Linked DNA regions of Arabidopsis thaliana. The protein of the gene in region 2 purifies or fractionates together with the protein of the main gene of each other region. This does not show direct contact. Each region holds a gene or a part of one and is shown on either strand. Other genes may lie near its edges.

Region 1 (7,221 bases), 4.0 Mb from region 2:
ACACAAGTAAGAGGACCCACGTGAAGACCCATACCCAGTTGCACAGAGACAGACACACAGATGAAAAATGAAAATCTCAAAAAACTTTCTTTCTTTCTAAAGATATTTCTCCAATCTCTCAATTATTTTACAGCTTCCTTTTTTGTTTTCCACGAAAAAGCAAAAGAATGGGTTCTCTTCTTCCTCTTCTTGGCATCTCAGTAGTCTCCGCCATTTTCTTTCTGGTTCTTCAACAACCAGAACAATCTTCTTCAGCCATTATACTGAGCTTGAAGAAACGCCATGGAAGCTCCTCTGGTAGTAGTGGTAACCAGTACAGTTCAAGCAGACCATCAGCTGGTTTCCAAGGGAACAGGAGCACGTGCTCTCTCTTCCTCGGCACGTGGGTTCGTGATAACTCTTATCCTCTCTATAAACCGGCGGATTGTCCCGGCGTCGTTGAGCCTGAGTTCGATTGTCAGATGTACGGTCGTCCTGACTCTGACTACCTCAAGTATCGATGGCAACCTCAGAATTGCAATTTACCCACGTATGTACACATACTCATCTTCTTCTTCTTTCTTTTTTGTCATAAAGTTTTCTAATTTTCGTGGTTAAATCTTTGAGTTTTCTGGTAATAGTGTATACCTGTGTCGTTATTGGTAATGAGGTTCGATTTCGTCAGAATTTTACTGAGCTAAGTTGTCAAAATGTATTCTTTTGGCAAACCCATTTGAAAGAATTCTACTTTAAGATATTACGACTGCTCAAAATCAGAGATTCTGTGGTTTTAGTGTTTGATTTCTGGTCTTTCACAAATGGATTAGGTTCAATGGTGCTCAGTTTCTGTTGAAAATGAAGGGCAAAACCATAATGTTTGCGGGTGATTCATTGGGGAAGAATCAATGGGAGTCTTTGATCTGCCTTATTGTTTCATCTGCACCGTCCACTCGGACAGAAATGACCAGAGGCTTGCCTCTCTCCACCTTCAGATTCTTGGTAATGCTTTCTTCTTATTCTTCAATGGCTCACATCTTGTTTTTCAGGTTCTTCTATAAGAAAACTGTTTTTTGATGTATAGGATTATGGGATAACAATGTCATTTTACAAAGCTCCGTTCTTGGTGGACATAGATGCTGTTCAAGGCAAGCGTGTGTTGAAGCTGGATGAGATCTCTGGTAATGCCAATGCTTGGCATGACGCTGATCTCCTCATCTTCAACACTGGTCACTGGTGGAGCCACACCGGATCTATGCAAGGGTAAGTTACCACACTTCCAATGACTTGATTTTCTAGTGTGAAAGTTTCTTTATATATCTTCTTGTGAACACAGATGGGACTTGATTCAATCAGGCAATTCTTATTACCAAGACATGGACCGTTTTGTGGCAATGGAGAAAGCACTTCGTACTTGGGCGTATTGGGTCGAAACTCACGTTGATAGATCCCGAACACAAGTCTTGTTCCTCTCCATTTCTCCAACACACGACAAGTAACTCAGCCTCTCTTGTTATATTGGATCATATTTTCTGATGTTTTTGAAATGAATGTCCTGACACCATTTGTATACATTTTGGGATTGATCAGCCCGAGTGACTGGGCGGCATCATCGTCTTCAGGATCCAAGAACTGCTACGGAGAAACAGAACCGATCACAGGAACAGCTTATCCAGTGAGCTCCTACACAGATCAGCTAAGATCAGTGATTGTTGAAGTGCTTCACGGGATGCACAATCCGGCGTTTCTTCTCGACATAACACTCCTCTCTTCCCTAAGAAAAGACGGTCATCCGTCAGTATACAGCGGCCTCATTAGCGGTTCACAAAGGTCTAGACCAGACCAGTCTGCAGATTGTAGCCATTGGTGTTTGCCTGGTTTACCTGATACATGGAACCAGTTGTTGTATACGCTTCTCATCTATTAGCTTCTTTTTAAATCTCTTTCCATCAAATTATTCGGTTAGTAATATTTTAACACATTCGAAGAGAGAATCTTAAGATTAATCACGGAATCAGTCAATTGTATAAACTTTTTGAGGAAATTTTCTTTCAAATGAATTATAATTTTTATTCCATGCAAACAAAGCATAGTAACAAGAAATTTAACAATGGCAAGCCCAAAACAAACAGTATTGGGCTTTTAAAAAAATACATTCGATGGGCTTATTGGAAAAAAGCCTTTTAGGGTTTTCTCAAAACCTCTCTACTATAAATAGAGGAAATCCAACTTTAGAGTTTAAGAAGAAGCAATCCAAAATCAATTCACTGAAAAGCTTCGTTTTTAATCCTGTAGTTTTCATAGGGTTTGGTGTTCTCTCTATTGTTGTTATTGGGCTTGCCTTTTGTCTAGGATTATCATGATTTATGTTTATTGAAAGATTGGCTTCATCAGATAGTCTATGTGGATTTGTTCGTTCCCATATGATTCGTTCCCTTGAAGCAAAATCAATCGTGTTGCTTTCGTTATTTATATAATTCTCCCTATGAATCTTCGGTGATTTCGTATTTATACGATTTTTGCTGATGTTGATTTGGGAGAATCACAACTGAGCAGCTATATATTATTCGTATTGAAATCTAGATTTGGGTTTTTGTATAAGTTTTTGGAAGAACAGTGATGAGTCAGTTTACAGACCTGTAATGATTGCGGTAATGATCGCATTATTATGAACATCTAAGGGACTGAGTTCTTCTTTCTAATATGATTTAACAACTTCAATTTGTTTTTGTTGGTTAATGTTTTTTTGTTTAATCTGATAAAGAGGCTGATGAAGATTAGATATTAATGGTTACTGAAATTTCAATAAGTGTGTTGATATACTATCTTCTTGACTAGGACTGCTGAGGCTAATCTTTGAATTCTAAGGAATTATGTTTTCTCTTTTTGATTTAATGAAATTAGATTGTGGATGATGAGAACAAATATGAAAAAACAGTTATCCCTGTCTGAGGATTTTAATCCCTTTGATGATTCATTTGTAATCTGACACAACCTTCCAGTTCATATCGTTTTGGGTTTTGCTTGTTGACTATTTATTTCAGACCCTAAATTATACAAACACGAAGATTTGTCATTGAAACAACGCAGCTTCATTCAAAAACGGATTTTAAAATTGGAAATCAGACAAATGACTAAGCGGGTCCCTTTTGACTTTAGCATCAATATTCAATATTACCGTGCCAGTAATAAGAGTTCTCGAGTCCATGAAATGATGTTGTATCAGTTTTCGTTCAGCATTTCAATAAATTCACGATGTTTTGGTCAAAATATCTTACTACCTATCGACTGTTATCGGACTTCAGGTTCTACTCTTTGAGTCGTCGACAATGAAAACGTTTCTTTTTCCTACTGTAACGAGAAGGCAAACAAGTGGTATTTTGTTACGATAAAAAACAGGTCAAAAAAAAAATTTGTTAATTGAATGTTTAACACGTTTCCAAAATTTATAAATGTTCATATTCAGCTTACATTGTACTAGCATCGGCAGTAGTTGATTGAATACTAGTGTCGAGTGACATCAGCTTGATATCAAAGCATGATTGATTACATTATATAATATCCATTTGTAAATAATCCACCTCTCAAAAAAAAAAAAATTAATAAATAAATAATCCACCTCCGTTCATATATAAAGATTGTCACGGTGGTCTACCTTAACACTACAAAGGCAGTCCACGACTGAGAAAAAAAAAGCAGTTCAAATTTTTTTCGTATGTGTTAAGGATGGAGTACATTCATAGAGCATCATCTACATTCTACTCCAAGATAAATGTGGAGTATCTGTATTACTTTTAGTTTTGTAAAGAGATTATACATAATTTAAATATGGTACATTACTCATTACAGGTCTTTGAGCTGTGGCGTTCCTTAGCCATGATGTTTCATCCTCTATATTGTCGATACGAGTTCACACTTTCTAGCTTCATCTACATACCAAAATCATGAATTGTCGTATAGGGCCTTAATGGGCTTAAATGACCGAGATAATGACCTGTTAGCCCACTAGAGATAATTCAGAAGCCTAACTTTGGATATAAAGTTTAAAAACCCTGGTTCCAGTTTTTTCTTCTGGTTCTCGAAACTTCTTCTCCCAAATTGAACAACCAAAGAAGTTGCAGAGCACACACACACACTTTCAAGTTTCAATACAGAGATGGCGAGCACTGAGCCAGAGCGTGAGAACCGTGAAGATGAAACCGAAGTCAACGAAGATGAAGACACCGGAGCTCAGGTAGCTCCGATCGTTAGGCTTGAAGAGGTTGCAGTCACCACCGGCGAAGAAGATGAAGACGCCGTCCTCGATCTGTATGTTACTCGTTCCGTTAATATTCTAGTTTCCTTGCCTCTGGTTAAAGTGAGTGTTGGATTTTCGATAGAAGATGAGTGTCGGATTTTTGATAGAAGATGTATTCTTCTGGGTTTATGATTTTGTAGGAAATCGAAGATGTATCGATTCGATAAAGAAGGGAACCAATGGAAGGAGAGAGGAGCTGGAACTGTGAAGTTATTGAAGCATAAGGAAACTGGAAAAGTTCGTCTTGTTATGAGACAATCTAAAACCCTAAAGATCTGTGCCAATCACCTCAGTATGTTTGATTCTCTCTCGAAGAAGATCTTTTTTTTTTTTCTTCGAAAGGGCTAAACTTTATGTATCTTTTGTTGAAATTATGCAGTTTCGTCTGGGATGAGTGTTCAGGAACATAGTGGGAATGAAAAGTCTTGTTTATGGCACGCTACTGATTTCTCCGACGGCGAGTTGAAAGATGAGCTTTTCTGCATTCGATTTGCTTCCATTGAGAGTAAGTTTATACTTGTGAAATTCGTATACTTGTTTTTGATTGAGAGTAACGTGGGTACATTTAGTAGTATTCGATGTTTAATTTATGATAGTTGAATCAGGGAAGATGGTTTGGAAGGTATTCTTTATAAGACTCTAGTTGTGATGATTTAAGTCTCCCATGAATTGTGATTCATCAAGTCCATATAGATAGCTCAAGACTGAAATGGAATACTGCTTTTGTAGTGGCAATACTTATAATGTTGCCTCATTTTATAATTTTAGGGAGACATTGTTGTCTTGAGAATAAACATCTCAGGCCATTTTCCAAGACTCTGTTGGTCTCTGCGGTTGTGGGTCTTATCACTAAACAAATGAACAAAAGGGTTCCATGATCCTTAAGTTGTGCTAAACAACTACCATAATCGTATCTATGTTAAATTAGACGCTGACATAATCTATGAGATTAATATCCTAGGGTCTGCATCTGTCTTTTTGGTTTTAGATTCTCGAGTGGCTAACTGATAGTGTTGCATCAACAGATTGCAAAACATTTATGGAGAAGTTCACTGAAATAGCTGAAAGCCAGCAAGTAGGGAAAGAGAGCACCCAGGGCGACGAGGCTGCTGGTTTAATAGAGAATCTTTCGGTTGAGGAAAATATAAGTGAGGAGAAAGCCAAGGAAGCAGAAGAGAAAGAGCCTGCAAAGGAAGATAAAGAAACAAAAAAGGAGAAGGTAGAAGAAGAGAAGAAAACAGAGGCAAGCACTTAAGTGATCAAATTAAAATTGGTTGTTGGCATCACTAAGTGTGCTTTGCTTTATTTTAATATATTATACTTGGCACTGAACATGATGGTAGCTTCAAAAGTTTGAGTCTTTGCGCTGTGTTAGAGAAAGAGAATCTTAAGATTTTTTTTTATGTTGTTGCTGTGTAAGTGTTTGACTATTGTGTCGTCTCTTTACTGTGTCAATTTGGTTTAAGATAATAGTATTCGGCATCAAATTAGTATCCTTGCTTTCATCTTCAATCATCCGAAATGGATTTGTGGCCAGCAGGTTACACAATCTGTAATTGACATGTTTGGTGTTGCAGCAAAGGGAACAATCATGTGGTGCTTCTAAGAAGTAAAAACTAGTTAGTTAATTTTGGACCCAACAAATTTGTATGGACCCTAAACCTATAATTCGAAAGGCTCCACCACAAATAACACCATGTTTTAAGCACTTCTCTATCTCTCTTTCACCATTTAATTTCCTCTGACCATGAGCTGTTCCTGCATTGAATATCAGATTTTATCTTTTATGCCTCATTTCTAAGTACCCTTGTATGTGTTTTTCTAAACGTTTATCTTCACAATAGCACTAGTAAGTGGATGTATGATAATTGATACTTTGATGTATGTGCCAACTATTTCTTACATACAATTGTACATTGTAGGCTACAATTTGTAGCACAACTATATTATTACTATTTACTAGAAATGGCGAAAAAAACAAACAATACCGAACATCAAAGTCGAAACTAAACTTTTATAATAAATCATATTTTTTAAAAATCATATTTTAGTTAATTATATGCAAGAATACTTATATTTATATGATTATACGATTATATCCAAACCAAAACCAAAATAAAATGTGGTTTTCTAACTCCGACTCATTTCTCAAAAGTGAAAAGAACCCAAAATGCTTAAACCAAACCAAATCAAGGAACTGAACGCATAAAGCTAAGAGTTACAACATGACCAACAAGGAACAAAAGAAAATAGGTCAAAAAGAAGTAAAGAAGGCTAAATGCTTGGAAGTTGGAAAAATAAAGGCCCAAAATAAGGAGTAGTGTTGTGGTGTTGGCAACTGCAATTGCAATCCTTATTTTATGGGAAGAAGAGTCACTTTTGGTCAATAAAGTTCTTATTATAGACTCCAAATCTCTCCCCCCCCCCCCCCCTCACCTATCTACATTTATATCTTTCTTATTATTTCCATGACTGCCATTTTCATGGAAAGTCATTTTCTCGCACCTGTTTGACAAACAATTATTATACCACTCAAGTACAATACCTGCACTTCTATGTGAATAATGCAAAAATATAAGAAAACTCTTAAATGACCCTTAAGCTAATCGAAATTTAGGAAGCATTATTCTTTTATTCTTTAGTACTATAGTCTATAATATTGAGAAGTGAAAAAAATTATCATTTTAGAGAATCATGGGGATTTGTTCCCTCCGTCGCCTTGACGAGTCACTTAGTTTTGAAGATTTACCATCAAAGACCCTCCTCGGCTCCTCGTGGTTAGGTCCTGCGCACATCGAATATATATGTCGCAGGTATAGATGATATGATACTATAATATATGCTTTTTAAGAAAAACGAATAAAAGTAGTAGTATAAGATTTGATTAATAGAGAAACGTGTAAAGAGGTTTTGATGAAAAAATTGCATAGCGTTCCTCGTCTTCTACT
Region 2 (7,221 bases):
ATAAGATTACCTCTATACACTGAAGAAAAGGAAAAAACTGAAGAGTGAGAACTGAGAAGCGATTATGGCGAGCAAGATGAGTCTCCGTTACTCTCTCTTTTTGATCTTCTTCTCTCTCATTTCACTCCAAGGTTCTCCATTCATCTTTCTTTCTCATTATTGAATGTGCTAAAATCATGATCTCTTTGTTTCCAATCTAATTCCTTGTAATTGGATCTGTTTATAGGTTTTGCCAAGAAGACCGGAGATGTGTCGGAATTGCAGATCGGTGTCAAGGTAATTTTTATATTTTCCGATCAGGAAATGAACGATCTCGTATACTGTTTCTAGCTATAATATTGGTTTATTCATTGTTGTTTTCTGGAATGTGAATTTGGATCTGGTTTTGATTGTGCTGTGTTCTGTTTTGGTTTGTCTTTTGACCATTTGGTTTAGTTGGAGTCTTTTGGATTTGACAAGTGTGATCTTGTCAACAAATTTGTAAGATACTTAGGGTTCTTGATTGGATTCAGAGATAATAAAGAGTTTCTTTTTTTTGCAGTTTAAGCCAAAAACATGTGAAGTTCAGGCTCACAAAGGTGATACGATCAAGGTGCACTATAGGGTAAGTTTTTGCTAGATCTTATAACAAAATTGGGATTCATTATTGTCATGAAGAAATGTTTATTGTTGTTTTTGTTGTTGTGTAACTTAGTGTTGTTATGTGGCAGGGGAAACTTACTGATGGAACTGTATTCGATTCGAGTTTTGAAAGGGGTGATCCGTTTGAGTTTAAATTAGGAAGTGGTCAGGTTATCAAAGGTAGTGACTTGCTTTTGGCTTTTGAGTATCTCTTTTCTTTTAACATTTTCTTAATTCCTTCAATGGTAATTTTCGGTTTTGTTGCAGGTTGGGATCAAGGTTTGCTAGGAGCGTGTGTAGGTGAGAAGAGGAAGTTAAAGATACCTGCTAAACTTGGATATGGAGAACAAGGCTCTCCACCTACTATCCCCGGTATAAATACGCTTCATCAATAAGCTTTTAAAATGTGTATTCATGTTTGTGAAAAAAATACGGGATTTCGACATTATAACTAAAAACAACCTTGCAAACTTCAGGTGGTGCAACACTGATCTTTGACACAGAGCTTATTGCGGTAAATGAAAAACCAGCTGGTGGTGAAGAATACGGAGGGGATGAAGATGATGAGGGATATGGAAATGACGAGCTATGATCCGGTCTCCGTTCTTTAACGATTTTGCTTCAAGAGTTCTCTGGATAATACAAAGAAACCATCTATGGGAGGGTTTTTTCTAGTCTTTTGGCTTTTAGGCGTAAAGACTGCAGATGATTGTTATGGTGATATTTAACATTTTCTTTTCATAATTGGCTCAACTTCAATTAGTTAGCCAAAGCAAATTACACAGTACGGCTTAGCGACCTCAATGGTGATCTATGCGCAGAATGAGAGGGGTCAAGAAAAATCTTAGGCAGTGTCGTCTTACAAAAAAAAAAAGACAACTACAATGGCAAAATACAAAAGTTTACCATCAATGCTTTTGTGAAACTCTTTGCTATTATTTTGACCTCAATCCACCAAATTCTCAATGGTCAGTGGATCAATGATTCTAAACATTGAACACTAAACATATCTACGAAAGCAGAACAAATAAATAAATTTCTTCAACCTTCATTTCTCACAAGATAGAATAATGGCATGAGTTCAGCTGTTGTTATGCTTCACCATTCTTTTTGTATCTGTGTCCCTTCTGGACATTGTTTCAGCTCACTTGAAGATTAAGCCATCTTTACCTCAAATTCCAGATCCGCAAACGGTGAAGGATGTAGAGCCTTGCACCGTTAAAGTAGTGATGGTCTTTGTGTCGGACCTCGAGAAAGAATGTTCTAAGACAACTAGACAAGTAAATTCAAATTTACTTCGAAATACATTCTTTTCTTGAAGGTGAAAATGTATGGCTAATGAAACATTTTATTTACTTCATCTTGCATATGTATAACAGATTAAGAAAGAAATTCAAGAAGAGAAAATGGATGTCATAAATACCTTTAAATTTATGAGAACTGAGGCGGGAAAGATTATAGGTAGCCGCAAGAAAGAGGAGAGCGAAGAATCCATGAAGCTAGCAGCTCAACATCAAAAAGAAATCAAAGAAGGGATCTTGAAATGGAGACGGTTATTACTCGGATCACAAACACAATTGTTGTAAACACAACAAACTCTTTTTCAATGGAAAGTTCTACAAGCGGAAAAGGAAGTTCTAGCGATAATAGCAAAAGCTTTGGTAGCTTCATTAGCGGAGGCGCTTTCACAGACACTACAGGTTCAGGCTCTAACTTAGGCATTCCTGTAGTTCCTGAACTACCGGTAGAAGCTTGCTAGTGCTAGTGGAAGTCCTACGAGCAATCCTTCTGGCAGTGGGGTTTCCTTTACGGACACTACTGGTGGAAGCTCCATTAGTCCTACTGAAAGTGGAAGTGCTGGATCAGCAACTCAGAAAAACGCTATAACATTGACACAAGTTGAGGCTGAGACTTCCAAAGAAGTCATGATATTCATAATAAACCTCGAAAAAAAGTGTCCACCAAAGGAGGAATACGAGGTCTTCTTTGAGAAACTCAAGGGTATAATGGCTGCACGCTCAAAGAATTCTCCCAAAAGCAAAAAAAGTTTCTTCTCTACGATCAAATATGCTGCTGGGAAACTATCTGATGACATGACATTTATGCGGTCAAGAATTGGAACCAAATCAGCAAAGGTACAAAAAAGATACGTCTCTTTCTGTTGTTACTTGCTACATGTTCTTCTAACTCACAATATAGGTGAAGCAGTCCATGGAAACTTACCAAAAAGAAGTGAAGACTATCAAAGAGTTAGAAACCATCCATAGTAGAATAGTAAGTTAGAATAAAGGCAAGAAAGATGGGTATTTGACATGCACAACGGCACAACAAACAGAGATTAAGAAGACAATCACTAAGTGGGAACAAGTCACAACCAAATTCGTTGAGACCGCTATTCAGAGCGAGACATCTACAACTTCTTCCTCTTCTCCCGGCAAGATCAAGTCAACTTGAACTCAAAGGCATAACTATACATAAACTAGTTAGCCACAAATCATAAAAAAAATTGAACCAACCATACGAAATACAGATCAATTAACTAGCTAATAATTTTAGTTTTTGTGTTTATTGTAAATAAAACCACGGCTATAGATATTTCAAAAAGATAAATCGTTTAAGTCTTTATGCTCTTTTTAATTTTTATTAGTCAAGGATGATGAATAGTAAATTGTATAAAATAAAATATTATTTGATTTAGAATAATAAAAAAAAATCTAGTCACAAAAATAATGCTTCTATAATCAAATTTTAAATTTTAAGTATTTAAAATGATTCAAAACTTGTGTGTTTTTAAAAAATTAATTTATTAATTTTAGATTAACGAGACCCGCTCAAAAGAAAAATAAAAAGTGTTCTAACAAATAAAAATAAAAATCACGCTAACAGTCAGTATCTGGAAACATCGGGACACATCTTTAGGCTCAAGGATTCAAATGAAAATCAGAAGTCTCTAGAAAAACCCCAAAACACTCTTTCTTCACTCCCCCTATAAATTCTCATCACAATTTCTCAAACCATCTCATCTCTGCCAACACACTCTCTAGAATTCTCTCGTGATTATCGATTTCACTCTCTTAAATTTGATCAGAAAATGGAAGACGATTTCGACACGCAGAACCAGTTTCCGGAAGAGGAGCCAGAGGAGATGGATATGGATCTCCCCGACAATGACGAAGCTGACTCTGCTCCTTATCTGAAAATCGGCGAGGAAATGGAGATCGGAAAATCAGGATTGAAGAAGAAACTTGTTAAGGAATGTGAAAAATGGGACACGCCTGAGAACGGTGACGAAGTTGAAGGTAATTTGAAATTGCTGAAGTCTGATCTGATGATAATATATGTGTGAATCAGGTTCTCAGATTGTGTTTTCTTTTGCAGTGCATTACACTGGAACTTTGTTAGATGGTACCAAGTTTGATTCGAGCCGTGACAGAGGAACTCCTTTCAAATTTACTCTTGGCCAAGGTACTTTTCTATTTTGCAACAATATTTGTGAGGCCTATGTATTCGGATTTGGATCGGATTTTTTCGGATTCGGATAATATTATAGGATCATATTAAGGCTGTTGTCTTCTTTGAGGCCGGTTTGTGAGAGAAGTTTTGGTTGAGAGTTTGTTTTGATCGATAGTTACTATTTAATTACGGTGTCTTTCGAGTTCTGAATTTTGTTTTGGTTTGGAATGGTCAGGACATGTCATTAAAGGATGGGACTTGGGGATCAAGACAATGAAGAAAGGTGAAAATGCTATTTTCACCATTCCTCCTGAGCTGGCATATGGTGAAACCGGTTCACCGCCGACTATACCTCCGAACGCTACTCTTCAGTTTGATGTGGAGTTGATAGCATGGAGGAGTGTTAAGGATATATGTGGTGATGGTGGTGTGTCTAAGAAAATAATTGTGGAAGGAGAAAAATGGGAGAAGCCAAAAGACCTTGATGAAGTTTACGGTGCGTGTTTTTCGTCTTCCTATGATTTTGGTTTGATTCTTTGTGCTGGAATATAGTCTTGTCGATGTTGTTGGTTCTGATTTGTTTTATGGTTTGGTACCGTGGCAGTCAAGTATGAAGCTCGGCTTGAGGATGGCACCATTGTTGGAAAGTCTGATGGTGTAGAGTTTACTGTCAAGGAGGGTTAGTATTTTTTTTTCTCAACCGGATATTATTAGCTATTCGAGGATCTAAATACTTCTCGTGTAATAGGCCATTTCTGTCCTGCGCTTTCTAAGGCTGTCAAAACCATGAAAAGAGGGGAGAAGGTTCTCCTGACTGTGAAGCCACAATGTGAGTATTTTATTTGGTGTTTGTCCTTATTTAGCGATGAATCAGTGAATTTAGATTGATGTGTGACACTCTGACTTGTACAGATGGATTTGGGGAATTTGGAAGACCAGCTTCTGATGGTCTTCAAGCTGCAATCCCACCAAATGCAACCCTTCAGATTGACCTTGAGTTGGTTTCTTGGAAGACTGTGGTGGAAGTAACTGATGACAGGAAGGTTATTAAGAAAATACTCAAGGAAGGAGAAGGATATGAGCGTCCCAATGAAGGAGCGATTGTCAAATGTTAGCATCTATCTTTAAGGGTCTTATCTGAAGACCTCCTCTACGCTATGGTTAAGCTATGTGATCTGACAACGAGTTTTTTGTTGCAGTGAAGTTGATTGGTAAACTTCAAGATGGAACAACCGTGTTTGTGAAGAAAGGTCATGAAGAAGATGAGGAGCCGTTCGAGTTCAAGATTGATGAAGGTATAATATTCATATATACAGAACTTGGAATATTGTTTCCTTTTTGTATTTGACATTTCACGGCTATGATATTAAATGACAGAGGATTGGTGATCTGTGCAGAACAAGTGATAGAAGGGCTTGAAAAAGCTGTGATGGGCATGAAGAAGGGTGAGGTAGCACTCATCACAATTTCACCGGAATATGCTTTTGGTTCCTCTGAATCAAAACAGGAGCTGGCTGTAATACCGCCAAACTCGACTGTATACTATGAGGTCGAGTTGGTATCTTTCATCAAGGTGAGAGGATTCACTTTCTGAGTGTTGTTTCTTTCTTTATGAAGAAACTTAAGTGTGCTAATGATATCGTCTCTCTTGATGCAGGAGAAAGAGTCTTGGGATATGAACACACAGGAAAGGATAGAAGCTGCAGGCAAGAAGAAAGAAGAAGGCAATGTGTTGTTCAAAGCTGGAAAATACGCAAGAGCTTCAAAGAGATACGAGAGGGTTTGGGATTTGGTCCTAGTATTTGCTAAAGAAACTTATGTTTTTGTTTAGATTTTAACATCAAGTTTTGATTGCAGGGTGTCAAATATATAGAATATGACTCAACTTTCGACGAAGAGGAGAAAAAGAAATCAAAAGATCTCAAGATTGCCTGTAACCTGAATGATGCAGCTTGCAAGCTGAAACTGAAAGATTACAAGGAAGCAGCAAAATTGTCCACAAAGGTAAAAACAAAACATTTCAGTTTCAGTAATTTTGGATATTACAATTGGAGATGAACGACTAAGTAGTGAATGAAACGAATGTGAATAGGTGTTGGAGATGGATAGTAGGAACGTGAAGGCAATGTATAGGAGAGCACATGCCTACTTGGAGACGGCGGATCTTGATCTGGCTGAGCTTGATATCAAGAAAGCTCTCGAAATCGATCCAGACAACAAGTGAGTAATTTTCTATTGGTCCTTTGTTTTTTTCGTTGCGATGTATTCTAATTTCCAACATGGGTATGCACAGGGAGGTGAAGATAGAATATAAGAAGTTGAAGGAGAAGGTGAAAGAGTATAACAAGAAAGATGCTAAGTTTTACAGCAACATGTTGTCGAAAATGCTTGAGCCACACGTAAGTAGTTTCTTAAAAAGGAGAGTTTCAATGGGTAAAAATAGGGAAAGCTTTATTGAGCTGATAATATTCTGGTTTGTATGAACTGTGATTGTGCAGAAAGGAACTCAGAAGGAAGCACAAGCGATGAGTATTGACACCAAGGCATGAGTCTTTGAATCACTTTAGAGAGTCGCATTGATTCCAAAAACTAAATGTGAAAAGTCTACAAATTTCTGTTTTTACTCTTTGTAATCAATCTTGGTGTGTGTTACTGTTTCAGAGTTGTTATAAAACAGACTTGTAATAAACGAGGATCTACTCCAAGTTAATGACCCCAATAGCTTGATATATCATATCTAGTAGTTATGTTCTATCTACCTATTGTTCAAAAACAAAAAAGTTCTATCTACCTAATAATATTTAAATCTAGGTTAATATAGAAACAATATTCAGAATATCTAAAAATGTGTGATCATCATATATATTCAACTTTACATATTCAATAATTATATATATATATATATATATGTTGATTTGATGGATGAAGCTCTAATTAATATGGAAAACCTTTTGTGATGGAATTATATTATATGTGCTAGTTTAATGGTTTTGACCTAGCTATACGGTGACTGCTTGACGGGACTATCAAAATTAGTGTACAAATCCAACGTAAAGTATCTTTGATTCGCATCTTATTTGTTTAAATTTCTATAAATAGGCCGGGTCAAATATTTCAACGTAACGTTTTATATTTATAACAAGTTTT
Region 3 (7,221 bases), on a different chromosome or scaffold from region 2:
CTTATAGCCTTATAGGTCTTCTATGTAAAAACTCGTTAAGGCTTGTAAGTTGTATGTGAGTACTTTACCACTCAATACATTATATATTACTACTCTTTTATGAGATAATGTGGATCGACTTAAATGTGTAGGCTAGTACTGGTTTGTTTCAAGAGTTCATAAAATTCATGTTTTGAAAGTTTTTTACTTTTACGTTTATATGGACGCGTATTTCTTAACTACGTTAGTTCATAAATATCTTAGGCTCTTAGCCATTACCTTAATCCTATAAAATATTGAAAAGTCTGAAAGTTTAGTACGGTATTAAGTACATAGTGCAATGTCATTTTCTTAAGTTGTTTTCCAAGTGGATTCTCCTAGACATGCAAATTGGAAAATATGGTATGGGTCCTAAAAATCTTCAAATAATATCTTATGTTTTGGACATTTCTAGTAATTTATTCACCCACACATATATAAAAGGTGAAATTAGTTGCCCTAAGAGGATATGGAAGCAGTGGTGGACCGTTCAAATAGCACTTCACGTTCGCGGAAGGTCAAAGCTTGGCCAGAGAAACAACAAACAAAGTACATATATAATTTAGTTGCGGCGGCATTTTTTTTCTTTTGGAATTAATGGAAGAAAGGTTTCTGTATTTTGAAATAATTCAAAGATCAAAGAAAGATTATAGTGCATGCATAAAAGTTCGAATTCTAATGGTTAGCTAAATCATTAGCAAGCTTTGACCAAACTTCAATCGTAGTTTCAAAACACTAAATTGATATGTTATCAAAACTTTGATCTTTCTACCACTACCAACCCACTATAAATCCCAAGAAAGATACTATTGTAGTGATCTGGCTATTAACCATCCCAAGATTAATTCCCAACCAACGATCTCCTCAATTAAAAGTTAAAACCCTATCTTTTATTTTCTACCTTCCATCTTCAACTCGATCTCCGTGATATCTTTGGATAACGTTTTTGAGTAAATTCTTGTGCTTCCTTCATGATCCCAACCAAACAAAGAATAAAAACTAATATAATATTTTCACTATGCGTGGAGGTTGATCAAGCACGTCAATTCCCAATATGTGTGTTCAGACAACTCGTTAATATGTCAAAGAACGTGAGCCAACCGCTTCATGCCACGTAAGTTTCCAAATGGACCCCCATTTTTAAAACCCAACCCCTTTCGGCAACCTCTTCCTTCATCTCCAACCCCTTTGACAACTCCGATAATTTATTCGGATATCATCTACTTCGCGTATATATTCTGTTACTGTACACCCTCACCTTCTTTATGTTAATTGTTTGACGAATATAAATTAATTTATGTCCATTGCTTATGATTGGCTAAGACATGGTTTGGATTCATGAATCCTTGATAATGATTTGTACGTACGTCGACTACCGTATATTCCATGTCTGATCATGTCTTCAGGTCAACCAAATAGAAACATACCAGAAATAAGTCAATAAATCAAGCGTTCCAAATCTATAGGCACGTTTTTGTTCATTTGTCTTCTCCACGATCGGTGATCCGATCACTTAAGTAAAGAGACGATTTTTTAAATGTTGAGGTTATAAAAACGAAAACGATTGCGTGAAGCTAGAGGGTGTGTGTGATTTTATCTTTGCTGAGTAAAATATTAGCGGACAAGATCAAACCGCAACTTGAGTCTTGGTGGATAAGGATTAAGGAGACAGGGCAAGTGCATTGTTTCTTAAAAACATCCCAAGAACTTCTCCAAGTGTCATTAGGAGTGACATAAAACATTTTCTTCTAATTTCTAAAATGATCCTTTTTCTGATTTATTTGTTCTCTTTTCAAAACGACTAATCATTCCATAAAAGTAAAAAATTTGTAAGGATTAAGTCTAGATTTCAATAGATGTATATATAATTAAAATTGTTAAAATCCAAACCGACCATCGAACATGGTATAATTTGTTCAAAAATCTAATGATAGACTCGAAAGTTTGTGTTGTACATGACATATCCACGTGGGAAATTTTACAAAGATGAGACTTTACAAATCGAAAAGACAAGTGTACAAGAATAGTCCATGTCAGAAACAAAAAAAATTGCAACTTTATTTCACGTTCACATTTTCTGTTTTGCAGTTCCAAAACACGCATATAAATAGCTTCGTGTTGCACAAGTACGACATATGAAAGTTGGCACACATGGAGAAACAGAGCATCAGAAACACTTGTTCTTCTTCTTTAATGTTATCCTCACCATCTTCTTTTTGGGTTCGTGGTGCGTGTATCGGCAGAGGTTGTTTCGGTGCAGTTAGTACGGCGATCAGCAAAACCAACGGTGAAGTTTTCGCCGTGAAATCCGTGGATCTCGCCACGAGTCTCCCCACTCAATCAGAGTCTCTCGAGAACGAAATATCTGTCTTCCGCTCGCTAAAGCCTCACCCTTACATCGTGAAGTTTCTCGGCGACGGAGTCTCGAAAGAAGGAACGACGACGTTTAGGAATCTCTACTTAGAGTATCTCCCAAACGGTGACGTGGCTAGTCACAGAGCCGGAGGAAAAATCGAAGACGAGACTCTGCTCCAGCGTTACACGGCGTGTCTTGTCTCTGCTCTCCGCCACGTACACTCTCAAGGATTCGTTCACTGCGACGTCAAGGCGAGGAACATCCTCGTCAGCCAAAGCTCCATGGTCAAGTTAGCCGATTTTGGGTCGGCGTTCAGAATCCACACACCGAGGGCTCTGATCACGCCACGTGGAAGTCCGCTTTGGATGGCTCCGGAGGTGATCAGACGAGAGTACCAAGGTCCGGAGAGTGACGTCTGGTCTCTCGGCTGCACGATCATCGAGATGTTCACTGGGAAACCCGCTTGGGAAGACCACGGAATTGACTCGCTGAGTCGAATCAGTTTCTCTGACGAGTTACCGGTTTTCCCCTCGAAGTTGTCGGAAATCGGCCGTGATTTCCTAGAAAAGTGTCTGAAGCGAGACCCGAATCAGAGGTGGAGTTGCGATCAGCTTTTGCAGCATCCATTTCTCTCTCAGTGTCACAACTCATCTCCGACTGAGTCATCTCCGCGTTGCGTACTTGACTGGGTCAACTCGGGGTTTGACTTAGAAGAAGAAGAAGAGGAAGTAGGGAGATCAGAATTCGAAGACGCGGCGAAGGCAATAATTTGTAATTTGGCGACGACCGGAGGAGTAATTTGGGAGTCAGATGGTTGGGTGGAAGTTAGATGCCACGCTTCGGAAGAGGAAGGGACAACAATGGAATATTCGGGATCCACAAGGGTAGAATCGGAATATAACACATCATCGGATCCAAACGATGACGTGGCTGGTGACTCGGCGATAATTGACGTTTCTATGTCTCAGAATTTACCGCCTGGAAACGGGGGATCGGCGGCGGCGCTGCCATATGAATTTGTGGTGGTTTTACATTTATTAATGGAAATTATGGTTTATACTACATGTATCTTTAGGGAAATTGTTCTCACTATGTATTTGTTGTATCAGTATAATCAAAGCAATAAACTCGAAACGTTGTCTTTTAATCACAGCCTCAAGTTTTGTTTGTTTGCACATGTGATTCGGATCGGACAAAACTATCTTTTACGCGGTGAGATGAGATCGAGTGTCTTAATTACGAGCCATTGCCTTATATTGATAACTCTCGTTTACAGCCAAATAGTTGTATTTTAATGTGAAAAAATATTGCGACAAATGGTTTTGGTTCGTAAGCTGGTGGAAGACTCAAGAGGCCAAAAGAGACTTTGGTTTTATGCTTTAGAAGACTTTTGATTCATCCTAATAAGTATTCGGATTTTGGAGCATTTAAATGAATCATAGAGGGAACCGGACCGGTTGAAGATGGTTGTTTGTTTCGACTAGGCCTGAAGGACCAAGGTTATGCATGTACGATTATGTATCAAACTGAACGAAGTCGTTACATAGAGTTTAGCTCAAGCATATCATCATATTCTTTTTTCGATCTTTAAGATTTTTCTCTAATCTCTATGCTATAAATCATTAAGATTTCTCTAAAAAAGGATTAATTTCCCTTGAGATAAATAGCTTTAAAAATAACCCAGATACAATGGGTTTATATGGGCCATATATATTTTTTGTCATAAGAAATCGGCCCATAGTTAGCTTCAATTCAACGCCGTATAACTATGAGTCGTTCCGATTTCCTGTGTTGCGAAACCCCCAAATTCTCTTCTCTCTATCTCTCTCGCGTACGCCGCACCGTAGCGACCAATTGAATCCACGAGGAAATCTCAGTAAATACTATGGCGACCAACGAACCCGAGCACGAGCACAGAGACGAGGAAGAGGCCGGAGCTAACGAGGATGAGGACACCGGAGCTCAGGTCGCTCCGATCGTTAGGCTTGAGGAGGTTGCCGTCACTACCGGCGAGGAAGACGAAGATGCCGTCCTTGATCTGTAAGTGTTTTTCTTAATTGGTGTTTATAGTTTTTCTGATCTAGGTCAACTGGATCTGATCGAATTTATAAGGTTTAGCTTTTGGTGTGTTTGACTGAATTTTTGTTTGTGAATCTAAAGGAAATCGAAGCTTTATCGATTCGATAAGGATGCGAATCAGTGGAAGGAGAGAGGAGCTGGTACTGTGAAGTTCTTAAAGCATAAGAACACTGGGAAGATTCGTCTCGTTATGAGGCAATCTAAAACTTTGAAGATCTGTGCTAATCACTTCGGTATAATTTCTATTTGGACTACTTTGTGTTGTTTTTGAGTTGCATCTGGATCTGTATTTAGGTTACTGTTTCCTTATCTAGTCTTATGCTTCTGATATTTCTGCAGTTAAATCGGGCATGAGTGTTCAGGAACACGTTGGGAATGAAAAGTCATGTGTGTGGCACGCTCGTGACTTTGCTGATGGTGAACTCAAGGATGAGCTTTTCTGTATCCGATTTGCTTCTATTGAGAGTGAGTATGAAACCGAATTTTGTAATGGCTTGTGTTTTGCCTTATTTAGTCTCAGTTGGTTTGATAGATTCACGGATTAGATTACTGATGGATCTTGACCTTAGCATTGCTATATGGCTACTTTGTTAATTGGAGGTTCTCAAAGCTTCCATCATAGGCATGCGTTATTGGGTTCAGGAAATATCAAAATAAGTACTGTGGCGGTTAGGTTGTGGTATTGCATTGTAAAGAGATAATATTGTTCTTGAGGTGGTCAAGTATGTATTTAGGCTGCAACTAATTTGATATGCCAACATGGTCGACTGTTTCTTTTTTTATTTTGGGTAAATATTATCAGTAGTTTCTGAGCTGTTGATCATATTAACCGGGAAAAGTAGAGATGCTTGTGGGTAATCAAATCTTATTTTCCTTGTCAGATTGCAAAACATTTATGCAAAAGTTCAAGGAAGTTGCTGAGTCTGAAGAAGAGAAAGAAGAGAGCAAAGATGCCGCTGACACTGCTGGCCTTCTTGAGAAATTGACTGTGGAAGAGACAAAAACGGAGGAGAAAACCGAAGCGAAAGCTGTGGAGACGGCAAAGACTGAAGTGAAAGCAGAAGAAAAGAAAGAGAGCGAGGCAGAGAAATCTGGTGAAGCAAAGAAAACAGAAGAAAGTGGTCCCTCAACATAAGAAGCGTCATCATTTAAGTTGCCAAATCCTGGCGAGGTAATTAAGCCTCGAAATGTTTTGATGCATCATGAGTCTACCATTGTCTTGGCACTATCTATCTATACATGTTTTGTCGAGTCATATCAAGTGGTTGGGGGATCGCTTGGGGTCGGGTTTTACTGAATGCTGAGTCGTTATGGGTCTAATAGTTTTTGAGTCTAAAGTGTCGGGTGATATGAGAGATTTGGGTGAAATATTTTTTCATGTTGGTTATCTGAAAGAGTACATTGGTTTCATTGTTTTAAGTTTTCTCATGGATCCTTTTTGGATGGTCTTATTTTGAGGATACAAATGTGTTTGTCCATGGACAAGAATCAGAAGTCTCCATTTTTTTTTTTTCAAAATTTAATGCATGTGATTTTTTAATCTTAAGGTAATTGCCAATTGTTTGACAAAAAAAAGGTAATTGCCAATCTACTTTGCTCTCTTGTGTTAGTCGATGCTAGTCTTGACCCTGATAAAGATCCAAAATGTATATTAACAGTATTCATAAAATTCTTCAGTTATAACGAACTGTTCACGGAAAAAAAATGACATTGTACTATACTGTGCTAAAATTACCAAAGCATGATTTATATAAATCATATCCAGTAAGACCATATGTGAATGAATAACAATGGATTATGCTTAGGTTAAGATTTTATTAAATTTATAACACTTTTAAAATAAATTTGGAATAATACAAACATATAAACCATTCCTATAACACCATATTTAAACATAACAATGAATTGCTTGGATTTCAAACTTTATTAAATTTGGATTTTAAATTTTAATTTGATTGAATTATACCCCCTTAATTGGATAAATTCAAATATGTCAACTTTTTTTTTTTGTAAGATTTTTTTATGGAAAAAAAAATTGATTATTCACTAAAAAGATGACAGGTTACTTATAATTTAATATATGTAAACCCTAAAAAGAAGAAAATAGTTTCTGTTTTCACTTTAGGTCTTATTATCTAAACTTCTTTAAGAAAATCGCAATAAATTGGTTTGAGTTCTAACTTTAAACACATTAATATTTGTGTGCTATTTAAAAAATAATTTACAAAAAAAAAAACAAATTGACAGAAAATATCAGGTTTTGTAATAAGATATTTCCTGATAAATATTTAGGGAATATAACATATCAAAAGATTCAAATTCTGAAAATCAAGAATGGTAGACATGTGAAAGTTGTCATCAATATGGTCCACTTTTCTTTGCTCTATAACCCAAAATTGACCCTGACAGTCAACTTGTACACGCGGCCAAACCTTTTTATAATCATGCTATTTATTTCCTTCATTTTTATTCTATTTGCTATCTAACTGATTTTTCATTAACATGATACCAGAAATGAATTTAGATGGATTAATTCTTTTCCATCCACGACATCTGGAAACACTTATCTCCTAATTAACCTTACTTTTTTTTTAGTTTGTGTGCTCCTTCATAAAATCTATATTGTTTAAAACAAAGGTCAATAAATATAAATATGGATAAGTATAATAAATCTTTATTGGATATTTCTTTTTTTAAAAAAGAAATAAATCTTTTTTGGATATTTTCGTGGCAGCATCATAATGAGAGACTACGTCGAAACTGCTGGC

What was found.
Region 1: the proteins of AT5G48570 (region 2) and RANBP1 fractionate together in Arabidopsis thaliana (co-fractionation; one large-scale study listed by BioGRID). This does not show direct contact.
Region 3: the proteins of AT5G48570 (region 2) and SIRANBP fractionate together in Arabidopsis thaliana (co-fractionation; one large-scale study listed by BioGRID). This does not show direct contact.

The regions. Positions count from the first base shown.
Region 1 is NC_003076.8:23,678,626-23,685,846, reverse strand, and holds RANBP1 (RAN binding protein 1), read left to right. Parts: upstream 1-3,911; 5' UTR 3,912-4,132; coding exon 4,133-4,284; intron 4,285-4,413; coding exon 4,414-4,565; intron 4,566-4,652; coding exon 4,653-4,778; intron 4,779-5,298; coding exon 5,299-5,528; 3' UTR 5,529-5,784; downstream 5,785-7,221. Other genes in the region: PMR5 (Pmr5/Cas1p GDSL/SGNH-like acyl-esterase family protein (DUF828)), read left to right, coding at 168-529, 807-978, 1,061-1,239, 1,313-1,471, 1,567-1,903.
Region 2 is NC_003076.8:19,690,148-19,697,368, reverse strand, and holds AT5G48570 (FKBP-type peptidyl-prolyl cis-trans isomerase family protein), read left to right. Parts: upstream 1-3,523; 5' UTR 3,524-3,712; coding exon 3,713-3,920; intron 3,921-3,999; coding exon 4,000-4,086; intron 4,087-4,309; coding exon 4,310-4,570; intron 4,571-4,678; coding exon 4,679-4,753; intron 4,754-4,822; coding exon 4,823-4,903; intron 4,904-4,986; coding exon 4,987-5,184; intron 5,185-5,273; coding exon 5,274-5,369; intron 5,370-5,471; coding exon 5,472-5,647; intron 5,648-5,731; coding exon 5,732-5,854; intron 5,855-5,931; coding exon 5,932-6,078; intron 6,079-6,166; coding exon 6,167-6,294; intron 6,295-6,367; coding exon 6,368-6,473; intron 6,474-6,572; coding exon 6,573-6,623; 3' UTR 6,624-6,908; downstream 6,909-7,221. Other genes in the region: FKBP15-2 (FK506- and rapamycin-binding protein 15 kD-2), read left to right, coding at 65-131, 227-276, 542-604, 711-801, 889-993, 1,098-1,213; AT5G48575 (mediator of RNA polymerase II transcription subunit-like protein, putative (DUF1216)), read left to right, coding at 2,547-2,756, 2,821-2,904. UniProt on the Arabidopsis thaliana protein: PPIases accelerate the folding of proteins. It catalyzes the cis-trans isomerization of proline imidic peptide bonds in oligopeptides.
Region 3 is NC_003070.9:2,190,727-2,197,947, reverse strand, and holds SIRANBP (Pleckstrin homology (PH) domain superfamily protein), read left to right. Parts: upstream 1-4,111; 5' UTR 4,112-4,259; coding exon 4,260-4,414; intron 4,415-4,534; coding exon 4,535-4,686; intron 4,687-4,792; coding exon 4,793-4,918; intron 4,919-5,334; coding exon 5,335-5,588; 3' UTR 5,589-6,269; downstream 6,270-7,221. Other genes in the region: MAPKKK13 (mitogen-activated protein kinase kinase kinase 13), read left to right, coding at 2,170-3,669.